Schizosaccharomyces pombe: one gene and its partner. Changing the gene in region 2 together with the main gene of any one other region gives a genetic interaction. Each region holds a gene or a part of one and is shown on either strand. Other genes may lie near its edges.

The links.
Region 1: of pof6 (region 2) and SPOM_SPAC26H5.07C, a mutation in one rescues a mutant of the other (synthetic rescue), as found in Schizosaccharomyces pombe (one large-scale study listed by BioGRID).

What each region holds. Positions count from the first base shown.
Region 1 is NC_003424.3:4,127,611-4,139,706, forward strand, and holds SPOM_SPAC26H5.07C (seven transmembrane receptor protein), read right to left. Parts: upstream 5,871-12,096; 5' UTR 5,854-5,870; coding exon 5,767-5,853; exon of another isoform or gene 5,690-5,766; coding exon 5,617-5,689; exon of another isoform or gene 5,394-5,616; intron 5,314-5,393; coding exon 3,956-5,313; 3' UTR 3,796-3,955; downstream 1-3,795. Other genes in the region: mga2 (IPT/TIG ankyrin repeat-containing transcription regulator), read left to right, coding at 1-1,057; shelterin complex subunit Pot1, read left to right, coding at 1,919-1,987, 2,034-2,154, 2,227-3,704; glucan beta-glucosidase Bgl2, read right to left, coding at 7,012-7,977; SPOM_SPAC26H5.09C (gfo/idh/mocA family oxidoreductase), read right to left, coding at 9,963-11,072.
Region 2 is NC_003421.2:1,955,339-1,968,072, reverse strand, and holds pof6 (exocyst complex subunit Exo5-like, F-box protein Pof6), read right to left. Parts: upstream 7,965-12,734; 5' UTR 7,944-7,964; coding exon 5,596-7,943; exon of another isoform or gene 5,546-5,595; coding exon 5,275-5,545; downstream 1-5,274. Other genes in the region: oligosaccharyltransferase complex zeta subunit Ost5, read left to right, coding at 728-770, 827-889, 1,040-1,218; CCR4-Not complex CAF1 family ribonuclease subunit 7/8, read left to right, coding at 1,227-2,234; ribosome biogenesis protein Rsa4, read left to right, coding at 3,299-3,502, 3,553-3,948, 4,007-4,303, 4,354-4,965; SPOM_SPCC18.03 (shuttle craft like transcriptional regulator), read right to left, coding at 9,076-12,309. UniProt on the Schizosaccharomyces pombe protein: Together with skp1, essential for septum processing and cell separation.

The DNA of each region.
Region 1 (12,096 bases), on a different chromosome or scaffold from region 2:
GTCTAAAAAAACCTTATTGCATGATAGCAATATGGAATCGCTTAAATCGGTTATTTCGCGGATTGTGAAAAAAGACAGTAATCAGTCTGATGACAGTGTTGAAAGTACTATCCTCGCAGCATTTGCTCTTGTTACAGATACAACGACACCATACCTTTCTGATTTTAGTCTTGTTAACGAATCTGGTAGGTCACTTCTCCACCTTACTGCTGCCTGTGGATTGTCTAATGCTTCGACGTTCTTATGCAACGCAGGATGCGATGTTAACAAAAGGGACGCACTTGGCTATACACCACTGCATTATGCTTCATTGTATGATCATAAAGACATATGTGTTAATTTACTTTCCAACGGTGCCAAGCCTGATGTTATAGGAGCTAGCGGTAAAAAACCGATAGACCTCTCCTCTTCTGAGCCTATAAAACTGGTCTTTAAGGAAGCAAATAATGAACAAGCCCAAAGTATTTCTCGCTCTCTTATTAAGGATTCTGAAGGCTCCATTAATACAAATGAAACCTTAGAATCAACCAGTATTGTTAACGAAATTGAGGAATCTGCTGTTCAGACCAAGTCATATAGTGAAAGTATGTGGAATAAAACTGTTACAATGTTTCCATCGCTTCAAGAACTACCTCAGAATTATATGAGTGAAGTTCCATCCATGATGCAAAAAGCCATGCTGTCAACCTTAAAAAGTATATCGGCCATTCCCGATGATGTACCCCCTCCTTATTCTGAGTTTGCTGATGATACGACAGCGCAAGCTGGTTCTAGTAAAAGAGATAGCGCTATATCTGAAGATCCCGATCATCACAAAAGTGTTTGGTGGTCTTTGAGATGGCAATCTCGGCTTGTTGGTCGTGGAAAATCTACTGCTCTTACTCCTGAAGAAACCAGAGCAATACAGGAGCAGGCAAAGACACTGAAAAAGGCAGGAATGGACTTTATGCTATTCTCTTTCTGGTTACCTGCCCTACTTTTGCTGAGTATCTTTGGTCTTCGAAGCTATGCTCAAATGATCGGGGGATATTTATATCGCTGCATAATTGGCATTTAGGTTTGACGAACAACCATGCATGTTTTTTTCTTTCTTTTAGTTTTATTCTTTTTTGTAGATTATGAGCAAACTACTGTCAAAACTTAGGTATTATGACAATGAAATCGTATATATTATATTCGATTGGATCAATTTTTTATTATATTGAAAGTAATTGCTTATTTTGTAAGTTAAACTTACATGGGTTTAAACGCATAGAGCAGGTTGGCGCTTTTAAAACCAAAATAGATCGTTGCAGGTTTGCTGTTCTGGATCGTGAATGCAATACCTTAGGAAAGTCTTTTAATAAGCTATCGCTTTTTGCATTGCATTCTTTTTCTAAACTGAACGTTAGATTAGCTAAAGTAAGCGTCTTGAGTTTTCGAGATGAACCGCATACATTAAAATTTTTAAGTACCAATTGGCATGAACCGGTATGCGATCTGCTTATTATAATACTAGTAAATCTTGATACTCGGCAAACTCTTTCAATAATAGCCTAGCAGAAACTGGGATATGTCTAAAGTTTTACAACTGCGCTCAGCTTAAGGACTTTACGGCGATCCATTTAATAGCTAGCCATGAACACTCATAACCTCAAGATTGAGGAGTGGGTCATTCTTTTGCTTGATAAAGAAACAAATTCATTATTGGTAAAATAAAACTGAATAACCCTTAGTTCATCCTAGGAATTTGAAGAAGGGGAATGATCAAGCTTGAACAAGTAACTCTCACGCAGTCTATTGAATAATCTGAAGGTTCATCACTTTCAAGGGGTTGTCTTGGTTTAAAAAGCTTTTACCAATTCCATTTAGGTTTCTGAGAAAGGCTAAAACTCATTTGTTGTTCTTAAAGGATATTTGGATCATTCGTTGATCAAGCATGGGAGAGGACGTTATTGACAGTCTTCAGTTGAATGAGTTATTAAATGCTGGAGAATATAAGATTGGAGTGAGATATCAATGGATTTATATTTGTTTTGCTAACAATGAAAAAGGAACTTACATTTCAGTCCATTAGAAGCTCTCAAGAATTACAAAAGAAGAATACTATTGTCAATTTGTTTGGAATAGTAAAAGATTTTACCCCTAGTCGCCAAAGTCTACATGGAACTAAGGGTATGCTTGCTTATCATGGTGGAAACTATACTTTTTATTTTTCCAGTCAAGAGCTAATAATCATGTTTTTAGATTGGGTAACCACCGTATATTTGTGGGATCCAACATGTGATACATCAAGCATCGGACTACAGATACACTTGTTCAGCAAACAGGGAAATGATTTGCCTGTAATCAAGCAGGTGGGGCAACCGCTTTTGCTTCATCAAATCACATTAAGAAGTTATAGAGACAGGACTCAAGGTTTGTCTAAGGATCAATTTCGATATGCACTTTGGCCAGACTTTTCTTCTAATTCCAAAGATACTCTCTGTCCTCAACCAATGCCTCGTTTAATGAAAACGGGAGACAAGGAAGAGCAATTCGCCTTGTTGTTAAATAAAATTTGGGATGAGCAAACTAATAAACATAAAAATGGCGAATTATTGAGTACCTCTTCTGCTCGTCAAAATCAAACTGGATTGAGTTACCCTTCTGTCTCTTTTTCTCTGCTATCACAAATAACTCCACATCAACGTTGTAGCTTTTACGCTCAGGTAATTAAAACTTGGTACAGTGATAAAAACTTTACTCTTTATGTCACTGATTATACGGAAAATGAGCTTTTTTTTCCAATGTCTCCGTATACTAGCTCCTCGAGATGGAGGGGCCCTTTTGGTCGGTTTTCTATAAGGTGCATTTTATGGGATGAGCACGACTTTTACTGCCGCAACTACATTAAAGAAGGTGACTATGTGGTTATGAAAAATGTGCGAACCAAAATTGATCACCTTGGTTATCTGGAATGTATACTTCATGGGGATTCAGCAAAACGTTATAATATGAGTATAGAAAAAGTCGATTCGGAAGAACCCGAACTAAACGAAATTAAGTCACGTAAAAGGCTTTATGTTCAGAATTGCCAAAATGGTATAGAAGCAGTAATCGAGAAACTCAGTCAAAGCCAACAATCGGAAAATCCTTTTATCGCCCATGAATTAAAGCAAACTTCTGTTAATGAAATTACGGCCCATGTCATAAATGAACCTGCTAGTTTAAAATTGACTACTATTTCTACCATACTTCATGCACCTTTGCAGAATCTTCTCAAACCGAGGAAACATAGGCTACGCGTTCAGGTGGTAGATTTTTGGCCAAAGAGTTTGACGCAGTTTGCTGTGCTATCTCAACCACCATCTTCGTATGTTTGGATGTTTGCCTTGCTCGTAAGGGATGTATCGAATGTGACTTTACCGGTCATATTTTTTGATTCTGACGCTGCGGAACTTATTAACAGCTCAAAAATCCAACCTTGCAATTTAGCTGATCACCCGCAGATGACTCTTCAGCTTAAAGAAAGATTATTTCTGATTTGGGGGAACTTGGAAGAACGCATTCAGCATCACATATCGAAGGGTGAATCGCCAACTCTGGCTGCTGAAGATGTTGAAACACCATGGTTTGATATATATGTCAAAGAATACATTCCTGTAATTGGGAACACCAAAGACCATCAATCTTTGACTTTTCTTCAGAAGCGCTGGCGAGGATTTGGCACGAAAATTGTTTGACTATTGTGATACAAAACTTACAATAATGAAATGCTTACGGAAAAGAAACATAAGAAAAACAATATTTAAATTTAAGGAAAGCTCTATATTGGGAGAATTTTATAAAGCGAGCGAATTTGTACTAAGGAAAAACACAGAGGGGAAACGTGAAATATCTAATTGCTTAGACTTTATATAACATCAACTTCGAAATAATCTTAGAAATTAATTACAAAAATAATAAGGATTGGTTTGATGTATGGTGGTTACATCTAAGCAGGCTTTTGCTTAGAAGTTGCAAGTGTTGAGGCATCATCATCACTTTCATCGTCAACAGCGAATAGAGCTTGATGCTCATCGGCACTGCCATGAATAATATGAGGGTTGGCTGGAGATGTAGGACGCTCATGATGCAGATGCAAACTATCATTTGAGAGAGAGGAAGTCATCTCAAACTCATCTACATCTTGAGCAACTTGCTCACTCATTGCGAAACGACGGTTATTCTCGGTAGGACGCCACAAGTACAAAATGGTAAGCATCAAGATCAAAACAAGAATATCAGTGTATCCGTAATTAAGGAACCAAAGAAGTTTCCAGTATTTTAAGTAATAGTTCATTTGACCGTAGATACCAATCAAAATGGCATTGGCTGCGACAATCGAAGCATAAGCGACAATGCCAAAACATATAACAATCCAAAGACGAGTATACATCTGAGCCTTAACAGTTTGCTTACGAATACGGAGATCACGAATTGTATTATTTAAAGCCAATACAATCCAAAGGAACATAGCGAAGAGGGTGATTAAAAAGACAGGAGCGGCAAACAAAATGACCAAAGACTCTTTATTAGATGGGCTAATGAACAAAGATGACAAGAAAAAGCATGAAGAAACGAACTGCAAACCAGCAAGAATTTGACACTTACGAAGAAGACTTCCCAAACTAGGAACAACAATAGAGTAACCCAGTGAAACAATTAACAGCAAAAATCCGAAATAGGATTGACGAGCGGATTGAGCTAACGACAAAAAGAAAGCAAAAACTTTACTACCTGTAGTGTAACCTTTGCTATTCGCGAAATAGAAATAACCTGTAGAGACCATAGTGCAAACAATAGAAAGAGCAACAACACCTGAAATATACTTTTGAACTTGAAGGAGATCATGCCTATAGCGGAACATAATAAAAGACCACCAAATTCCAATTAAACAATTGATCGCCAAAAGAATGGGATTTAAAAACAAATGAGGATAATCAGTAGCATCCAAATTGCCAAAATAGTTTTCCCAGGTTACGGTGATTTTGTAAGCCTCGCTGGAGCCTTCAAGGGGTGCGGTAAAGACGCAATATAGACCAGATTGCTCAACCGGATATTTAAGGGGACTAACCATGGATTCAGCGTCTACGGCGGCTGAGTAAATAGAATCGTGGGGAGCGGTTTGGTTAATCAAGTAAAGACCATAATCATCGTCCTTGCAAACACCGGCTTCAATGTCTTCGTAGTTACATATATAATGCTTCTCGCCATCATCGTCTTCCATGCCGATGGCATTAACATCTTTCCAGTTAAAAATTAGCAAACGAATGGCGCCGCCAAAGTCAGATGTATAAGAATCGATTTTCACTATGTTCAAAGTTAGTAACAAAACTTAACAAATAGTAAAAAAGATTAACATAAAAAGGTGCTTAAGAAATACAGTCAAGATTTCGACAAAACGATATAGATAAAGATCTGCAAAACTCTGAAAAGATTAAGCAACGATCAATTTCCCATCGCTAGTAACTGAAACATATTCAAAGAAAAGATGAAGAAACAGCATAACTCTTAGTGTCAAAACACGATAAAAGGCTCGTAATGTTGATTTCCGTCGCCAAAAAATTCCCGATTCCTCAAGCAACTATGAAAGCCTATATAAAATTCACATACGAGTAATCTCTGATGTTTTTCCTTTTTTGGCAAACATTCCATTACAGACTTGAGATGCCATAATATCCTCAGTCTACAAAATTATTGCAATTAGTTAGCGTCCAATATTCTACTCTGGATTCCGACTATCAACCACTATAATCCACGTACCAAAAGACTTTTATTATCGGAAGCATTTACAATGAAGAAATGCAAAAAGCATATAAACCCTACAAGAGCCGACTTTAAAATCGCCATTTTGGAGCTTGGTTCTTGTTCGGTTGTTCAGATCAACTGCGTAAGGGGTACGAAAGGCGCTGCTCGTTTAGCGACACATTAAATCTTGCTATACTTTTAGTGAGCGGAACTAGTTAAGTCACTATATAATAAAAGAAGCGGCAAAGCTTGCAAAAATGCAAATTAAAAGAAAAACTAGTTTATTTAAGGAGAATAACTTCTATAATAAAGCATGTATTCTTTATTTGTTTCCAGAATAACACGCTATTGTATAAGGAGAGACACGCCTTTTTCAGATTATATGCGGTACGTTAGATAAGCATATTATATTAGTAAATAAACTCAATTTCAAAAAAATGAAGAATTATAAAGCACTGAAGAATGGTATTTCTAGTAACACTGCCAAATCTATATTGTTTAAGTGAAAATTGGAGGACAGACGTATGCTCTAGCGAAATATAGATTAAAAAAAGAAAATGATCATCGTCCGCTGAGATCATGAAACGCTATTAACTAAATACTGTTTTTTCTTCTCGTTTTTCTTACCAGACATTGATAAGCTGTTTAAAATGCTAGTAATTGAGCAAACCAAATCATTGTTTACTTGGTTTGGTGACTTCTGTTATACACGCAAAACCAAAGATAATCTGATAACGAAGCTAAAGAAATCTAAGTACAAGTCACCCTTTAAACACTTCAAAAAACCTCAGTATCACATTCCATGATATCTCAAAGTCTTGAAGATGAAATGGCTTACAAATATTAAAAGCAATAAGTGCTACAATAATTTTTGTTTCTTAATGTATAAACAAACTCAGCAATTGCGGTGTAGAGAATTGAGAAAAATGGATATTCGTTTGTTTTATATAACAAAGATTTATGGAAAAGTTTAAGTAATATGCCTGAAAATGCAAAATGACATGTAGATAATGAAAATGCAGTAGAGTTTGAGTAATTTGGATATTTTTTAATAAATTCCTAATTAGGAAAATTTTAAAATAGTAAAAGTTTGTTTGTTTGTTTTTGGTATTTTCTATGTTGACGGAGAAGGCGAAAGAGCAATTAAAATGTTAAAAAGGCAATAATCAATCAAGCAAGTATGGCAAAAGCATACACATGAAGTATAAAAATCCAACGTTGAAAAGATACGCTCAAAGTTGAATATAACTATTCAATTGTTTACTCAGAGGTGCAATTCAAATTGTACTTGAGAGTGCGGTTGCTGTACATGGCTCCAAAGTAGGGTTCAACGGAAGAGGAGTCACCCTTCCAGTCCTCGTCAAATGCCTCGAAAAAGAAGATATCAATGCCCTTACGACGTATGTTACACAAGGCCTCTTGGAAGAATTCACTAGCAATATCAACCGTGGCATCAGCCTCTCCATAAGAAGGACCATCAGTAGGCCAACCAGTCTCACCAACCCAAAAGGTAACGTTGTTGGTACCCTTGACGGATTGGACGCGCTCTAAAGCAGCCAAAGTATCGGAGATGAAGGTGTTGGTCATGTTACTGGTGTTTTGACCTTGCCAGTAAGGGAAGTCATTCGACATGATAAAGTCACTGGCAGTAATAACAACATCACCGCTACCACCAGCCCACAAGTTCCAACTATCCGCAGTACCAACGGGAACATCGAAGCCGAGCTTTTGTTGAACAAGGCCACGGACGTCGTAAATGCGTTCGGCAAGGACGTCAGCAGGTAGATCATTCCTGTACAAGACTTCAGAGCCAACTGTTATAGCTCTAACATGATCAACACCATACTGAGGCAAATACTGCATAAGAGCTTGCTTTTCCAAATCGTAATGAGCGTCGTCAGTGGGCCAAACACCGAGGATGGCAGAAAAGTTGTAAGGCGACTGAGCAAGTGCGGGTAATAAGTACTCGAGAGTGTTACAATCACTAGTGGCATAGGTACGAATCATGTTGGTGTAAGGAGCAAGGACCTCAAAATCAGCCAAGTAATCGTCCGTATACTTGCAGGTGCCATCAGCATGCTTCACGCCTAAGCAGAAGCTGAGAGTGCCATTGGTAGAGGCAGGCTTGGTGGAAGAAGCGATTTCGGAAGCAGCTTCATCAACAGCCATAGCAGAAAGAGGCAACAAAGCCAAAGCGGCAAACACAAAAGACGAAAGGAATTGCATTTTTGGTGATGAAAAAGAATAAGACAATTGAGTTAAAAAATGAAGTAAAAGTAGAATAAAAAAAATTTGATCGAAAACGGTTTAAAAGATAAAAAAGAAAACTTGAGATAGAGAAGAAACTTTTAACACCTATTAAATTCAGAGACGAATCCAAAAACTATAGTAGAAACGTTGAATTGAGTGGATTGTTGTTTAAACGAAGAATGTTTTAAAGCGAGAAAGAAAAGAGTGGAATGACCCTTTATGTTGGGAAAAACAAAAGAAAAGAAAATAAAATAAATGCGACTGAAAAAGGAAAAAAAAAATTTTAACCAATGTAAACTCCTGCTCACTATCCACAATGGGCAGGCCAGAGGCTCTTAAATATTATTTCTATTACAATGCAATGTTAAATCTCACTATTTTTTACGACAATGGTGGAGTATGTCGGAAGGGAAAAAGTGGGTAAATGAGGTTATTGAACATTCGGTTCACTAAGCCTCGAATCATGAGTACATTGTTTCATTAAAAATGTTGAAAATACATGAAATAAACGAATGTTCAAACGTTTTCTATGCGATCGACAAGCCATATCTCAAGATTTCATCACTTGAGTTGTCCTTTCTAATTAAAATTTTTTGGAATTTTTTAGAAACCAAATCAAAGGTTTATATGTTCAAATTGGTGGGGTTCAATAAACAAATAAGATTGTTTATTTGAAATAATTTTTTGAATTGTTTTCTAAAGCTTCTACTATTTTTTGTATTTTTTCCTAAATTTTTTTAATTAATTTTTATATTAATTTGAGGAAATTTCTCAAAAGTTCCAACACAGTATTCTAGCCGCATTATTGAATCCATTCGTTTCTTATCCAACATATATCTTTATTCTGTTTTGTTTTTATTTTTAGCCGAGTGCATGGATTCATGTTCTTGACCTTTTTACGAGGGAAGAATCTTTATTTTTTTGGAATATGGTATTTTGATGATCTATCGATGTAAAAATGAAATGCGCTGTACATTTAAAGGATTTTTTGATTCATCACAGAATTTCTAATTTAAATGATATTTAATGTATGATTGATTTGTATTCAATAAAGTTAGTTAAAACTCATTTTCTTACTTATTTAGTGAAAGAATCTTTCCTTGTAAAAAATTTCACTAAACACACTTCCGCTCAAATAAGAATTCGTAGCGGTCCGAAAAAATTTCTTTTTAAATCCGTCAGCGGAATTAGGATTCTTTTCTTGCCACATGAATGGAATACGAGTAAAGGGTAACAATAGCGTAAACAACTGGGAGAAAAGATTGAAAGAAGGGAGAATCAACGAATTTGGTTTGGCCTGTGTATGAAATAGTATTATATAACCGAATTAAGGAACAGAGTAAATAAAAAGATGCTTGTTTTTATGGAGATGTGTTCTGCTTAAAAAAATAAAAAAAAAAAACAGTGTTTTGTTTTGTTGGTCTTTGTAAAATACGAAGAAATGAATTTTACTTTTTAAGAAACTTAATATTTTATTTATTTTGTTATTTTCCCTATGTGTCATATTGTGAATGATTTTTTTCTTAGTATAGAAGTTGACTTTTTTTAGTATATGTATTTAATATGTTGTATCTTTCTTCCTTCTATTCCTACCTGCCTATACAAAATCCCTATTTATTATACGCGCATATATACATACCATCCCAAATCTGTTGCTGATGAAAACATAATATATATTTATATTTATAGGTATACTAAGATATAGATAGACGTATGTATATAGCTTGCATATTTACATGCGCAGATAGAAATTATATACTTACTTGTGTGGTTAATTACCAGTTCTATCTGTTTGCATCGGTTCGTCATCAGATATAGTATGTCGAAGGTTACAGTACCAAACATAAAACAACAAAAACAATGCTTACTGAAAAGTCATAGAAAACGTAAAAACATAAACTGTCTGGAAGGAAGAAAAAAAGAAGAATTTGGAAAGACGCGCAGGTTCAAAACCATGAGACCTACTCGGACAATGGGATGGAAGTAGAGGATTGGGAACTCTTGTAAGCAGCCTCAATGATCTTCTCTACCAACAAAACTTGATGAGGCTTCACCGAAGTTTCAAAGGTCTTCGTGACCAAGGCTTCATGCACCTCCAAATAGAATCGACGATAATCACCGGCAATGGTCATTAAAGTGCTCTTCGTAGGTTTTGGGGGGTGTCTGACATCGATGTCGGGAGGTAGGGTCCAAAGGGTTGCATAATGATGGGAGGAATCGACACCATAACCTGGATCCATGGGAGACATTCCTTCGTTCAATTGGGACTCTTGGGGATCAATGCCAAACTTCAAAAAGCTACCGCGCGTACCCTTGATAATATAACGCATGTCCAAACCACAAGAAATGCTGGAGGAGCACACAATAACGTCAAGAGGAAGTCTTCCTTCTTGGGGCAGATAGTGGAGAACGATGCGGAAGCAATCCTCCACCTCCAAAGGTGGGATCTGACGTTGTGATTCGAGCTTTGCCGTTACGGAATGGGGAGTGCCAAACAAGGTGATGGCCTGATCGATCAAATGAGAGCCCAAGTCATACACCAAACCACAGCCGGGATTAGGAACATCCTTCCAATTACCTTTACGGAAAAGGCGAAAGCGATCGATATGCGACTCGAATTGCACAACTTCGCCCAAACGACCATTTTCGATGCATTCCTTTGCCGTCAAGAAATCACCATCGAAACGACGATTTTGATACACGGTCAACATGAGGTTTTTGGACTTGGCGAGATCGAACAGCTCCTTGGCCTCGCCGTAGGTGGGAGTGAAAGGTTTTTCACACAACACATGCTTACCGGCATTGAGCGCTTGAGAAACGACCTCGTAGTGGACGTTGGGAGGGAGTGAAATGACGACTAATTCGATGTTGGAGTCAGCCAAGAGCTCGTCGAGTTTGGTGTACACCTTTACGTTTGGAAAGGCAGCGCGGGCTTTCGATTCGGTGCTGGTAGCACGGCGCTCCCAAGCAGCATAAACCTCGAAATGGTTGGGTAGCGCCTTTAAGAAGGGATAGTGGAAGATAAAGGCAGACATGCCAGTACCGAGAACGGCAGTTTTAATAGGCGCCATTGAGAGTAGTAGGGAGGGGAATCAAAAGTAATGTTTCTACAAGAGGAATGTTAGTAAAGATGCGACAAGACAGCCACAGGGAAGGGCAAGGGCAAGGGCAAGGTAGAAGAGGAACCAAAGGTGGATAGAAAGAGCGCGCGCACAATATTAAGGCATCACAAGCGCTCCATGCGATGTCAAGTAACGCATTGCAACTCAACTCAATCATGATGTGTATTTCCTGAACCATCTCTATTCCGCAATCGCAATCGCACCCGCGCTTGCACTTGCACTTGTACTCGCCAGCTTACTACATACCTTGCTTGAAAAATGAATAAAATATAATGTAAATACAGTCGGCCCGCTTGTTAAGCTTGTTTCCTATGGACCACAATGGATTCTAATGTCAACCTAGCTAGTTGGTTCTTTGCAAATTCGATGCGACCCGCGCCCGTTATCGATTAAATAGTCTACACCGCCATTCGCCCACGTAAGCAATCAACACACAACCTTTTTCCATCTCGTTGTTTCAACCTCGTACAACGTGTGTTAAAGCGGGGCCCATCGGGTACCACGAAGAAAGGTGCAACTTGAGCTAAGATGCAGCTATGTAATGAATGACGTTTATTAGTATAAGCAGGATGAGTTTACCATGCAGATAGGGGGAACGTTTCAGCACGTAAAAGGGAACTAAAGGACACTATGCTTTAGTATGTTGTGTTGTGCTATGTACTACTATGTGATATTAGGTTGTGTATGCTATACTGTGCTATGCTAGTAGCCGATGGAGAGAGAGAGAGAGTATGTGCTTGTATGTCAAGGGAAATTGTAAACAAATTTAACTTGCTGGGACTAAATGATAATATGAATGTTGATATTACTTGGAAATCCTTCTTCAATCTCATTACGCTTGGATAAATTTGTTGAACCACGTTTGGATGAATGTTTTAAATTAAAAAGTTTTCTAGCGTTTGAATCCATGCCATCTCTTTCCCTCATCTCTCTCCGGCTTGACTTTTGCTCGCTTTTGTCTGCTTCCCAATCA
Region 2 (12,734 bases):
GAACGTCAAATGGCTTCTGTATAAATTTGTTAATGTCATATTTCCATATCTTTCAAGCGGCATTAAGCCATAAGGAAATCCAATTCTAATTGAATACAGTCAGAAAAAAGAACTCAAATACTCCTTTAAGATGTCTATTTAAACTGAAATACCTGCAAACAAGTAATTTAAAAGTTAGGGAAAAAACAAATTTAATTTTTAATAGGATTTTGTTAAAATTTAGTGGTACATGTATCCTCGTTTAAAATTAACCTTATTTAACATACAAAAAACGAATATGTTGCTTATTGAAGAATTCAAAGCTGGGCTTATAAAGTAAAGAATAAATTTTGAATTCCAAATACTGCAAATTTATTATGTTTTTAATAATACACATATTTTGAAAAGAAGATAGATCGTTGCTGAAGGAGCATGTCTTCCTCTTGCGATACTAACACTAACTAAAGACAGCCATGACTCAACAATTCTTTTGAGTTGTTTGAAGGGAAAAGTAAAATCTTTCAGTTATAATGTTGCCAAATAAGAGATCAAATCTTAATAATTTAGATGAGATTGCTTAAGTTTAGGCTCATCAATTCGATTGCTGACATTAAGATACAATTACAGAAAATAGTATTTTTGAAATCTCTCACTGAGGTCTGGACTTAGTACTTACTAAAGATAACATTTCAACACTCTACAAAGTGACTCATACTTTAGCTTTCTTGCTGCTACTCTCCCTTAATAAATGAGCTTGAACGAATTAATCGTTGCAGCTTTAAAATTATTCTGTCGACTTACTAATGGCATAAATTTACTTAAAAAAATATTTTTTAGATACGAGAAGTTTATAATAAAGAACAAAAGTCAGATTGCATATTTTTTTGCCAAGTTCAAATCGTTATCCAAAGTAGCTTGGTAAGCCGACAGAAAGTCTTTGATTTAATAAATATTCCAAACAAACATATGACAGTATTGTTCCATTAAAATAACTTTAGTTTCACTTGTAGGTTAGTTAATACCTAACTTAATAGTTGACCCTTCTATGACTAACTTTTAGTTTCATCATCAATGTTTTCTCTTGTGATTAGAAGAATTCATATAAGGAAATTGTGGTATATTACAGTATTCACAATTAACGCATCTATGTTCAGCGGATTCTTCAACAATCCAAGTCTACTTACACCAAACGAAAACCTACTTTTCCAGGTTGGTTTACATTATAGCTTTGCTGTTTAAAAAACGTAATGACAGCGATGAATTCGAATTTTTCTTATCCTGCATTAGGAGTGGATGGAATCAGCTCCCAAATATCACCAATTCGGGACGTTTGGTCCACGAATTTGCAACAAGAGATGAATCTTATAATGAGTCTAATAGAAAGGTATCCAGTTGTTTCTATGGATACAGAATTTCCAGGAGTAGTTGCTAGACCTCTTGGCGTCTTTAAAAGTAGTGATGACTACCACTATCAAACTTTACGGGCAAACGTAGATTCATTAAAAATCATTCAAATTGGGCTTGCTTTAAGTGACGAGGAAGGAAATGCCCCTGTCGAGGCATGTACATGGCAATTTAATTTTACATTCAATCTACAAGACGATATGTACGCTCCGGAAAGCATAGAGTTACTCACAAAAAGTGGCATTGACTTTAAGAAACATCAAGAGGTTGGCATAGAGCCTGCAGATTTTGCAGAGCTCCTCATTGGTAGTGGATTAGTTTTGCAAGAGGAGGTCACGTGGATAACGTTTCATAGTGGATATGACTTTGCCTATTTATTAAAAGCCATGACACAAATCCCTTTACCCGCTGAATATGAGGAGTTTTATAAAATTCTTTGTATTTATTTTCCGAAAAATTACGACATAAAATACATAATGAAATCTGTGTTGAACAACTCTAAAGGTCTTCAAGACATTGCTGACGATTTACAAATACATCGTATAGGACCCCAACATCAGGCTGGAAGTGATGCCTTGCTAACCGCGAGAATATTTTTCGAAATAAGGTCGAGGTATTTTGATGGTTCCATTGATTCCAGGATGCTCAACCAGCTATACGGTTTAGGCTCAACCGGTAGCGTTTTATGGCACAACAATTCATCTACCCCACAGATTCAATTCAGAGATCTTCCAGGTGCCCATCCTAGTCCTACTCCATCTAATGCTGGGATTCCCACCACTTTAACGAATACTTCTTCGGCACCTAATTTCGCCAATTCAACATTCAGATTTCCTCCTCGTGTAGTTTAGATCACGAGCTAGTTGAAAACATACCGTTAAAAAATTGAAGTCCTTGAAAGTACTTTCGGGATGCTTGTATTTTAACTTAATATATTCTCGTTTTCTCACGTATACCCTTGCTTGAACTTGTTTACTCGATATGCTTTTCTAGATTTTTTCCATAAAATCTATACTTTGGATTTTTATATGTTTTTCTTTTTATTTAAGAGATTGGTTGGAGTTTCCCGCTAATTCAGCATAAAAGTTTTTGTATCCACTCATTTTCGTGAGGAGCATTTTCCTTCTATTTTGTTGCGATGATTTACTTTAAAATTATTCATCTTCATTCCCAGCGAAATGAACTCTCTTGCATCTGGAAGCAAAAAAAGCCTTTCATCGGGTTTTGTATTAATAGATAATATAGTCCATTTCCTTCATATACTGATAATGTATCCGTGTATTTGTAATTCGTAATAGCTTAGCATCCAACCCAGCATCAACGGTGCAAACCGGCGTAGATTTCAAGTCTGATGTTTATCATCGGTCAACTCCAATGCTTCCCCAAAACAGCTCTATGTGCATGTTGTAACAAATCTTCATGCAAGCATCAACTTTAGTTAGTAAAGCTTTTTTTTTTTTGATAGGTGCTTTATCCTGTGATTTAAAATATTACAATCTCAAAACTATTATTTTAGTTTTTAGCTTTTATTTTATCACTAAGGTTCCCAAGCCAATGAACAAAATATCACCTACCTCGTCGTCCCAACCATTTCTTGAGATACTGAAAATTTTCAATAATTCTTCTAGTTAATTTGATCAAGCATAAAAGAATTACCTAAAATTTATTTTATAAAAACTCTAAGATCTTGTTTCTCTTGTTCGACATGCAGAAACTAATTTTTTATAACCTCGCTTAAATCTAGCTTAATTAGCTATAATTGTTTTTCTATTCGCTGAAGATCGTTGTTAAAATTATCGCGATGCATCATTGGCGCGATAAAATTTATCTGATCACAGCTCTTTTAAGAATACTAAGTGTAAGTATTTTTCATTACTACCACTACCAAATCCTTCCTTTTTTAAATCCTTCTAAAATGGCGACTTTACTGCCTCCTAAAAGTAAACGTCAAAAAAAGGAGAGCTTAAATCCTACTACTATAGAAATTCCTGAAAAATTCCCGCTCGTTAACGTTCAGTTTCGGGCGTCAGATGATAGCAATGAACTGGCATCACTTTTAGTTCCTGGAAATAGTTCTGTTAGGCAATTGGAAGCCTTGTTGAACCAATTATTAGAGAATGTAAGAATGAAAGTTTTTTTTCTGTAAATGTGCTAACATAATCCTCACAGTCCGACGATCCTGTTCCGTATAATTTTGCTCTTCATCATGAAGATGAAACTATCGAAATTCAAGATAATTTATACACTTCTGTATTTCACAATGGACTTATGAAAACTGAGGATCACTTAACGTTACTCTACACTCCTCAAGCTGTATTTCGTGTCCGTGCTGTTACTCGTTGTACTGCATCAATGAATGGCCATGATGGTACCATTATATCTGCCCAATTTTCGCCTAGCACAAGCTCGAGGCTAGTTACTGGAAGTGGAGATTTCACGGCAAGGCTCTGGGATTGTGATACGCAAACCCCTATTGCAACCATGAAGGGTCACACTAACTGGGTGTCTTGCGTCGCTTGGGCCCCTGATGCCTCTATCATAGCTACAGGAAGCATGGATAATACGGTGAGTAACTTTTTGATGGATTTATGATTTTTTTGTCGCAAGTCACTAATATTTTTAGATTCGTTTCTGGGATCCCAAAAAGGGGAGCCCTATAGGTGATGCTCTACGACGCCATACGAAACCTATTATGGCACTATGTTGGCAACCTTTGCATCTTGCTCCTGACAGTGGCCCCTATTTACTAGCTTCTGGATCAAAAGACAATACAGTTCGTATTTGGAATGTCAAATTAAGGACGTTGCTTTTTACTCTCTCGGGTCATACCGCGCCAATTACTTGTGTCCGTTGGGGCGGTCAAAACTGGATTTATTCCTCCTCATATGATAAAACCATACGGATTTGGGATGCTAAAGATGTAAGTGAAGGAAATTGTACTTAGGGATTATTTACTTACTAATTTTGAAGGGAAAATGCTTGCATATTCTAAAAGGTCATGCCGCTCGTGTGAACCATCTCTCCTTGTCCACCGAGCATGTCTTGCGTTCGGGTGCATATGATCATACTGATTTTAAACCAAAAAGCTTTTCTGATGAGCGTCGTAAGGCCAAAGAGCGTTATGAGGCTTGTTTAAAACAGTCAGGAGAGAGATTGGTTTCTGCCAGTGATGATTTGCAATTAATATTATGGGATCCACAGAAATCAACGAAGCCCATCACAAAAATGCATGGACATCAAAAGGTAGTAAACCATGCTTCATTTTCTCCTGATGGACGGTGTATTGCTACAGCTAGTTTCGATAGCTCAGTTAGGCTATGGGATGGAAAAACCGGTAAATTCCTTGCAACTTTGCGTGGTCATGTTGCTGCGGTTTATCAATGTGCCTGGTCTACAGATTCACGATTGTTGGTCAGTTCTTCTCAAGATACGACGCTAAAGGTGTGGGATGTACGATCCAAAAAGATGAAGTTTGATTTACCAGGTCATGAAGATCAAGTCTTTGCGGTGGATTGGTCTCCGGATGGACAGCGTGTCGCTTCTGGAGGCGCTGATAAAGCAGTCCGTATATGGTCACACTGATATTTACGCTTTCGGTAGCATAGTTGTTGTTAAAAAATTTAGAACTAATTTCAGGAATTTGGTTTTCTTTTACGGTTTAGGTTAATAAAATGGTTTTGGCTTTTATCCTTAATAACTACTGCATTTATGATTTATTATGACATTAAAATTGATTGACTTTTAGAGGATATTATAATAGACACAAACCTAAAAAAGGTCCAAAAAACGAATTTGTTAAACAAACATTATAGCCTAAAGCAGAAAGCAAGATGCATTTTTAAAGTGTATGGTAATAACAAAAAAAGGATATGAACAAAAAATAAAAAATATTTACATTATACAGCATGCCAGTCCATGGATTACTTTATCTACTTCGTATTTGATGTTTAACCAGTCAATACGACTGTGAAGGATTTCGTAAACCTCTTCGGTATGAAATGCGCTAGAAAATCGAGAAGTATCGGTAGCCAGTTTTCCAATCTCTTCGGCGTTTTTTCCATCAATAATAAATAAATGGGCAATTTCCTTCAATGTCTTAAAATATGGTAAAAGGCTGCTTTGATGAAGAGAGTGAATGAATTCATAATACAAATTACAATCGCTAAAATGAGTCAGTTTTATAATTCTTAAACATAAGGAATAAAATCTCACCTGAGTAACTTTAGCCCGCCATCGACACTGAATTTATGAGATTTTATGTAACGTGTTAAGGAATCGAAAAGTCTCATTCCGACTTCCTTATAAAAAACATCAAGGATTTCATGATCGGCCCTTCCAACTAGAATACGCATGTGGAAACCTAAAAATTGAACCACATTTTTGGCAGCAGCTGTAGGCTCTATAGTATTCGTTATGGAACCTATAGTTTGGTCACTAAATAAATTCATTGGTGTTTTAGTTTCCAGCAAAAAATCGGCATGCTCAATTAGAACATTAATGCCTTTGTGTAATCCGAAAGCTGCCCGTTCATCCAAAAGCTGCTCGAATTTTTTTTTTTCTGCAATTGCAGGGTCAAACATATCATCTTTCACACATATAGGACTCATTTCTTCGTTAAAAAAGCTATCCATCATCTGCTGAATCATATCACCAACATTGATAAGCTCCAAAAATTTCACCACTGGCTCTACAGTATTACTAGAAAAGTCGCGTCGAGGATCAAAAGAAGAGAGATGCTCGATTGCTCGATCAAACCCATGCTTTAAGTGGCCTTGACCTAACTCCCGCAGAAGCTGAACGAATAAGTCCTTCGAAAGCCCTTTAATATCATCATCTTGAGGAACCGAGGTACCCATAAATACTTTAGCACGAGCTAAACTAACTTTGCAAAGATGGACGATTTTCAAAGCTAATTCCAAACTAAACATGGTGCTGATACCTTCAAGTTTTGAGTCCAATACAGCAGCTTGCGCGGCTAATTCGGTAGTAGGGAGATGTTTCAATCGGTCCTTAGAAACATATATATTCGCAGGAACAAATCGGGCAGCATCCAACTTTGAAAGTTCTGGATCTTCTTCTTCTTTCTGCTCTATCGCTTTCTCAGCCAAATTAGATGCACTATTGTTTTCTGACGGTATTGTAAAAAGAGAGACTGGAAGCAGCATTACGTTTTTAAAGGTTTCCAAAAAATTATTTTTGGCAGTATTCTGGCTGACATTTTTGTAAAAAAAGCATTCTGTAGCGTCTTCTTTTTCTTCCAGCTTTTGGTCCCACTGATCAACCAGCGACCAGCCAACAGTTTTAAAGTAATGTAACTCCTGAGAAATGAAAATATCAATTTGCGGTTGAAAAATTGTATCCACTAAAGCCGGTCCATTAGGAATCGAAAAAAACTTCTTGCATAGGCCATAAAATCCAGAAATAAAAACAAGGAACAATTCGGTCTCTTCTTCACCAATATGCTCGCATATTGATATTACATAGTCTTTTAGTGAATTTCCAAGAATGTCTTTAGCATAAGGAACCTGGACAAGCTCAGGCTCAGGTAAAGTAGCTTCAGAGAATTTGGATTCCGACTCTAAAAGCTTGATAGTGTCGTTAACAACAGACTCCAAGATGTTCCAATTAATGTGAATTTCTTCTAGATTATTGGAAATAAACAAACTATACGGATCAAAATGGAAGAAAGACCTAACAAAATCAGTTTGCTTTGCTAGATACATGCTCACGTATGCATTTGGACCACTAAAATCATGAAGAACATGAGAAAACTTACGAAGAAGATCAAGATTACGAGAATGAAGACCTAATTCAAATTCATCAAGACAAGCTTGCTCAAATAATGAAGCCATGTCAAGAATGGCATTTTGCATCGCCTGTCGATAAGTTCCATAGGGATAAGAATTTCCAAACCTAATTAAATACTTCAGAACTTTCGATTGCTCCTCTGGCGTCCGAAAAGCAGAAAATGCAATAGGGTCAATAGTATTGCTAGCATAAGCCAGATTTCGGTAGATAGGAGCCAATGCTCTCCAAACCTTTATGTAATCCAATCTTGCAAATTCAACTCTTTGACTCACACAATCCAAAACTGTCAAAACTACTTGCTTCCCTTGCACTGTTGAGTAATCAACAGGAAAAGGGATCTTTTGGTCGGGTAAGGAAAGAAGTGACGAGGAGGACAGCTTAGGCCGATCAGAGTCAGCATACTTTTTATCACTACTTTGTAAATGAAAGCCTTTGCTGGTGTTGGAAGACATATTTGCTTGAGACATCCCATCTTGACTTTCATAATAAAGCTTTCGAGAAAGTGTAACATCCCAAGCATTCATAAGAAGTAGTTTTTTCACATATATACTATTGTAATCACATAATTGTTGAAATTTTCTACAAACAAGGCGGCAATTACACAGATCTGGGGTAGAAATGAGCGTGAATATCTTTAAGTATATATTGATCGTGAGACATCCAAACAAAGCCTTAAACTGTTGTTTATGTCGCCTTTCTAGATACTCCTTAATCTTCCTTATGGCATGTTCACGAGCTTCCGAAGGCTTCATTCATGAAATCTATTTGGTTCTAGCGAACATGATATTATGATCACAGGTATTCCGCATACTTCATAAAATAGTGACGACTACAGTTACGATTAAAATTACATAACGATTTACAACGATGTTAACTTTTGGTAATGGTATGAAGTGCGTAAAACAAACTTAAAGAATATGGTAGACTACCGTAAGTTTGTCTTGGCGTATATACAGTTGTACAGATAACTCTTGGCGTTATATAACACTGCTCTCGTATATAACCATGATATTGCATAGTATTATAATAAATTATAGCTTATTTACTACTGAGTAATAAAGCTTCAATTGAATGGTTCTGCAGTGCATAAAATTACTGAAAGTTAAATAAAAAACTGTCAACATTCATTTCCAAATGATTTATCTTATTATAGCACAAATGATTATAGCGCGGTTTAGCATATGTTAATTGATATAATGAGTAATCTTAAAAAACTTTAGCCAACTTAGCAGTCTGCTGCGATACCATAAATTTTTATTAAGAGATTTTGCGTAGTAGGCAAATGAAATATAAATTAAATAAGATTCCATTCCACTATTCGTCCTTTTCTATGTTTAAACATAAACAAAAATAAATTACATGTAGAACATATTAGAGTTAGTAACTATATTAATTTACTCTTTGTAACTATCTAGCCACAAGACTGAACAAAACGCTATTCATGTACTTTCAAGGTTTTTTTTGAATGCCATTGAGAAACTAAAAACTGTTGGCTCAATTCAGAATTCCCTTCTTTTTTGTGATGATAAACAAAAAGAATGCAGAACTACTAAATTTCGATGCAGCTTTAAAGGTTCTACTAAATCGCGTATCAACAAGATTATCCTTTCCTTGAGAAATAGTATTTTTGTTTCAACATTTGACATAGATTATTTGTATTTTCAAATAAAAAAAAAGCTATAAACATCGCTTCACTTTAGTTCATACTTTATATTAAAAGTATCATATTCATTTATTTTGTATGCTACATCCCATAAAGTTAATTTAGAGATACAACAAATCCTATCCTCCCAAACCAAATCCTTTCATTAAGAAACATAATAATTTAAAGACCTCAACAAATGCTGTCATAAAAAGCTTTTTTGTTTTGGAAACGAATAAAATCTACAATTCAGTAGCAAGTTCCTTATATCGATTAATAACCCCAATAGATTTATCAGGAACAAGACTTAAAAAGGCTTTCTTTTTTGAGTGAATTCTCTGAGAGCGTGTTTTAACAATTTCGTTTTTGTCGTTTATTTCACAGATCTCACAGCGACTTGCAATTCCTGCGTCTGCAAGACGTCGATTTACAAGAGGACGCAAGGCCACTAGTTTGCCAGTTTTATTGACAATGAGATCTGTGTTTAATGGTTTTAGTATAATATAATTTTCGCCAAAAAGAATAGACCAGGTCAAGTGGTTAAAATCCACAATGTCGTCTAAAACCGAAAAAATGGCAGATTCATCATTTACTTCTTTCAATAATTCTTTCAAGACAAAAGCATTATATCCCGAATCACTAGCATTTGATGAACCGTCTATATGGCTTGCAGTGGCGTTTTCCTCCTCAGGTCCTAATAGACTGTCCGGCTTTAATGGAATTTCAGGATGTTGCAGGTGGTACAAATTGGCTTCCTTAAGCAACATATTGGGCAACTTAGCCTCTCCTTTATTGTAGACCATGACATTTCGTTTAGGTTCAGGGTCAAACGAAACACTTTCTAAACCCAACAACTTTGCGAACATATGTACAAATGCTCTTTGTTCACGACGCATGGATGGAAAACGGAAGGAAGACGCTTTATTGTTAACAAAGTTGCGAAGTAACGACTCAACTTCATCAGCAAAATCAGAATGTTTTCCATAAAATACAAGTAGACTCTTTGTATATTGAGCTACATCGTTGGACCGCCGATCAGTTTTAATGTTCAACGCCTCTGCAAAAAGTTTATTTCGTTGTTGCTGGGAACACTCAAGCGTACAAGACACTTTATGCTGAGGATCTGGGTTATCATATGATGCATCACAAGTGACTTTTTTTCTAATACGGCCGCATTCACACGAGACTTCAAGAGGTGCCTTGCATGGAATCCGCTCATCACATGGATGACCAGCATGGCAGGGAGATTGGCATACATGCTCACAATACATTCTCCTTTTTCCGCACTCTTTTTTGCAACTTGACTCACATTCACCATCAGGATGACAAAGCTTTTCGCAAAAGTGAGTTTTACAGGATAGAAGTTTATTACAGAGCTCCCCACATCTAACGTTTTCTCTATAACAAGGTTGATTTTCTAAAATATGTTTGCCACAAAGACAACGCTTTTTAACAAAATAAGGACAAGGAGGACAAGGTTCCGAGGTAGGATGGCAATTATGCTTGACCTGAGGGTGATGGCAAGATTTTGGAAGAACACAAAGGTAAGGACAATCGGGAATCGGCGTACCACAGGCCACTGGCGGATATAATCTTGTACGTCCACAAGTACACGGAAGCTCCTCAAAGGAAGCCTCCAAACATCGAGGACAGGGACCGCGATGACACATATGCTGACAAAAGTGATTACCACACGAAAGCTTTTTGTTGCAAGGCCGAAAACAAATATGCTCTTCTTCAAATTCCTCAGTAAGAAGATGATATCTCAATTTAGCACCTTTAGGGCGGCGTGCTAACCGTGTTTGTGCCTTTGAATAACCAGAACAACATTTTTTATTACATTGGTGACGTCCACAACTAAGAAGAATCGTACACAGTCGTTCACAGGTAGGAATAAATCCATTTTGTAACTGCTCACATGTAACTTGCACTTCGTTAGCAGTGCATCTACATGGAATGGTCAGTGTTTCCGAACAAGTACCACATGAACCAAGATGACATTTATATTTGCATCTATGGCCACAAGACAGAAGCTTTCCACAAATGTTCTCACAAGTGGGGATAGGATCAGAACAGCTTTTCCTCTCATGTCCCTTAAGCAGAAAAGATATATCTTCCTTTCCACAAGGGCATTTTGTCAATACATCGGTAGCGAAAGGACAATGAGCCCTTGTTTCAGAGATTGGGTGACATGTTTTACTACATTTATGAAGACCACAATCAAAAAATAAAGTACAGGGGTTATTGCACGAGTAGTAACCAAACCACTCCTTCACAGAACCATTCTCATCTTTTTTGCTTATGGAAGGAGATGGTAAAGATGAACAAGGATAAGTTTTTGAATGTAAACCACAATAGCACTTAGCGTTTATAGGTTCAAAACATGCACCGCATAAGCCTGAATGACACCGCTTCTTGCATGTATGTTCACCACAAGGCAATAGCTCATCACATACATTTTCGCAACGAAAAGGTTCCGTATTTACTTTTGAAATATTCGAACATCGAGCATGTATACTTTCCTTGCCACAAAGGCAAAACTTTTCCACAGTAGCGGTACAAGGAGGGCAAGGTCCAGGATGACAAAGCAAGGGACAAGGGTGTTCGCAATCTTGACCTCTAGTTTTACCACAGGGATCACCGCAGGAATGTGGTACCAAGTTTTTGACAAACTCAGGCTTCTCCTGTTTTCCGCACCAACAGAGATAATGAAGAGAAGTTTCCGTTTGATTACTTTGACAATAAGGACAACGCCAAGCGTCTTCATTTCTTTGTTCGATTGAGTTTTTACACCATTTACGAATACAAGATAGATGGAAAACATGGTAGCAAGTACCACAGGACCAGATCGATGTAGAAGGGTTAATGGTATCGGTACAGACGCTACACTCATAAAGTCTGTTCTTCAATTCCACTATCATCCTAGAGGTCATATCTAATTTAGAAAGGTCCAATCCTTTTTTTATTTCTTTCGAATTTTTTGGCATCCGACTCTTCGCTTCCCGTGACCTCTCGCTTTTATTGTTAACAGAACCTTTGCTACTAGAGGTTTCTTGACTAGAGTTAGAAGACTTCAAGTCAACTGCCTGTTTTTCAGAATGCTTAGAAGATCTTTTTCGATTTTTAGATCTTTTCCCTTCTCCCTTTGCATGCTTTCGCAATTCTTCATCCTTAGATGAAACAGCATCTACGATATCAGACGCTTTGTGTCCATTATTCTTAGATACGTTTAATTGAACGGAGGAAGTGGGGACAAAGATTGGTGCACTCGCAGAAGGATGGAACTTGCTGGAATCTTCCTTTAATGAAGTCTTTACCTCTTCATTGTTTTGGGATATGGTTGTTTTAAAATTTGGTAATTCTGAACCTGAAGAAGGTGATATCGATTTCTTTTGTGATTTTTGAAACCTTCGTCTATTTTTTTTTACATTTGCAGGTTTTTTAGGCAAATCGGAAGGATTTTTAGATGTTTCCATCCAGAAAGTGTATAAGGCACTCGACAAGTTAGCATCGTGGCAACTTCTTGGAATATAAGCACAAAATTGGCGAGGTGACAAAACCTGTATTGGAAACCAAAACAAAAAGGTAAAACACCTCTATATTTTGAATATACAATAGTTTTTACTCAGGGAGAATAATTATCTTCGAAGGACGACAAATAAAAATGACTTGTTGAATGCGCATTTTAATTAAGGATGGTAGAATTAATGTAAACATGTTCATTGCTTTGAACTCTCTTGACTTCTTTTAGACTCTTCCTATCTTTATTACAAAGAACGAAAGTTTGCTTCAATAATAAATAATTGTCTTAAATTTAACTATCAGTTTCATGTAGGTCTTATGAATATAGTCAACTATTTTTAAACTAAACTCAACTTGGTAACTTCTATTTGGTGGTCCA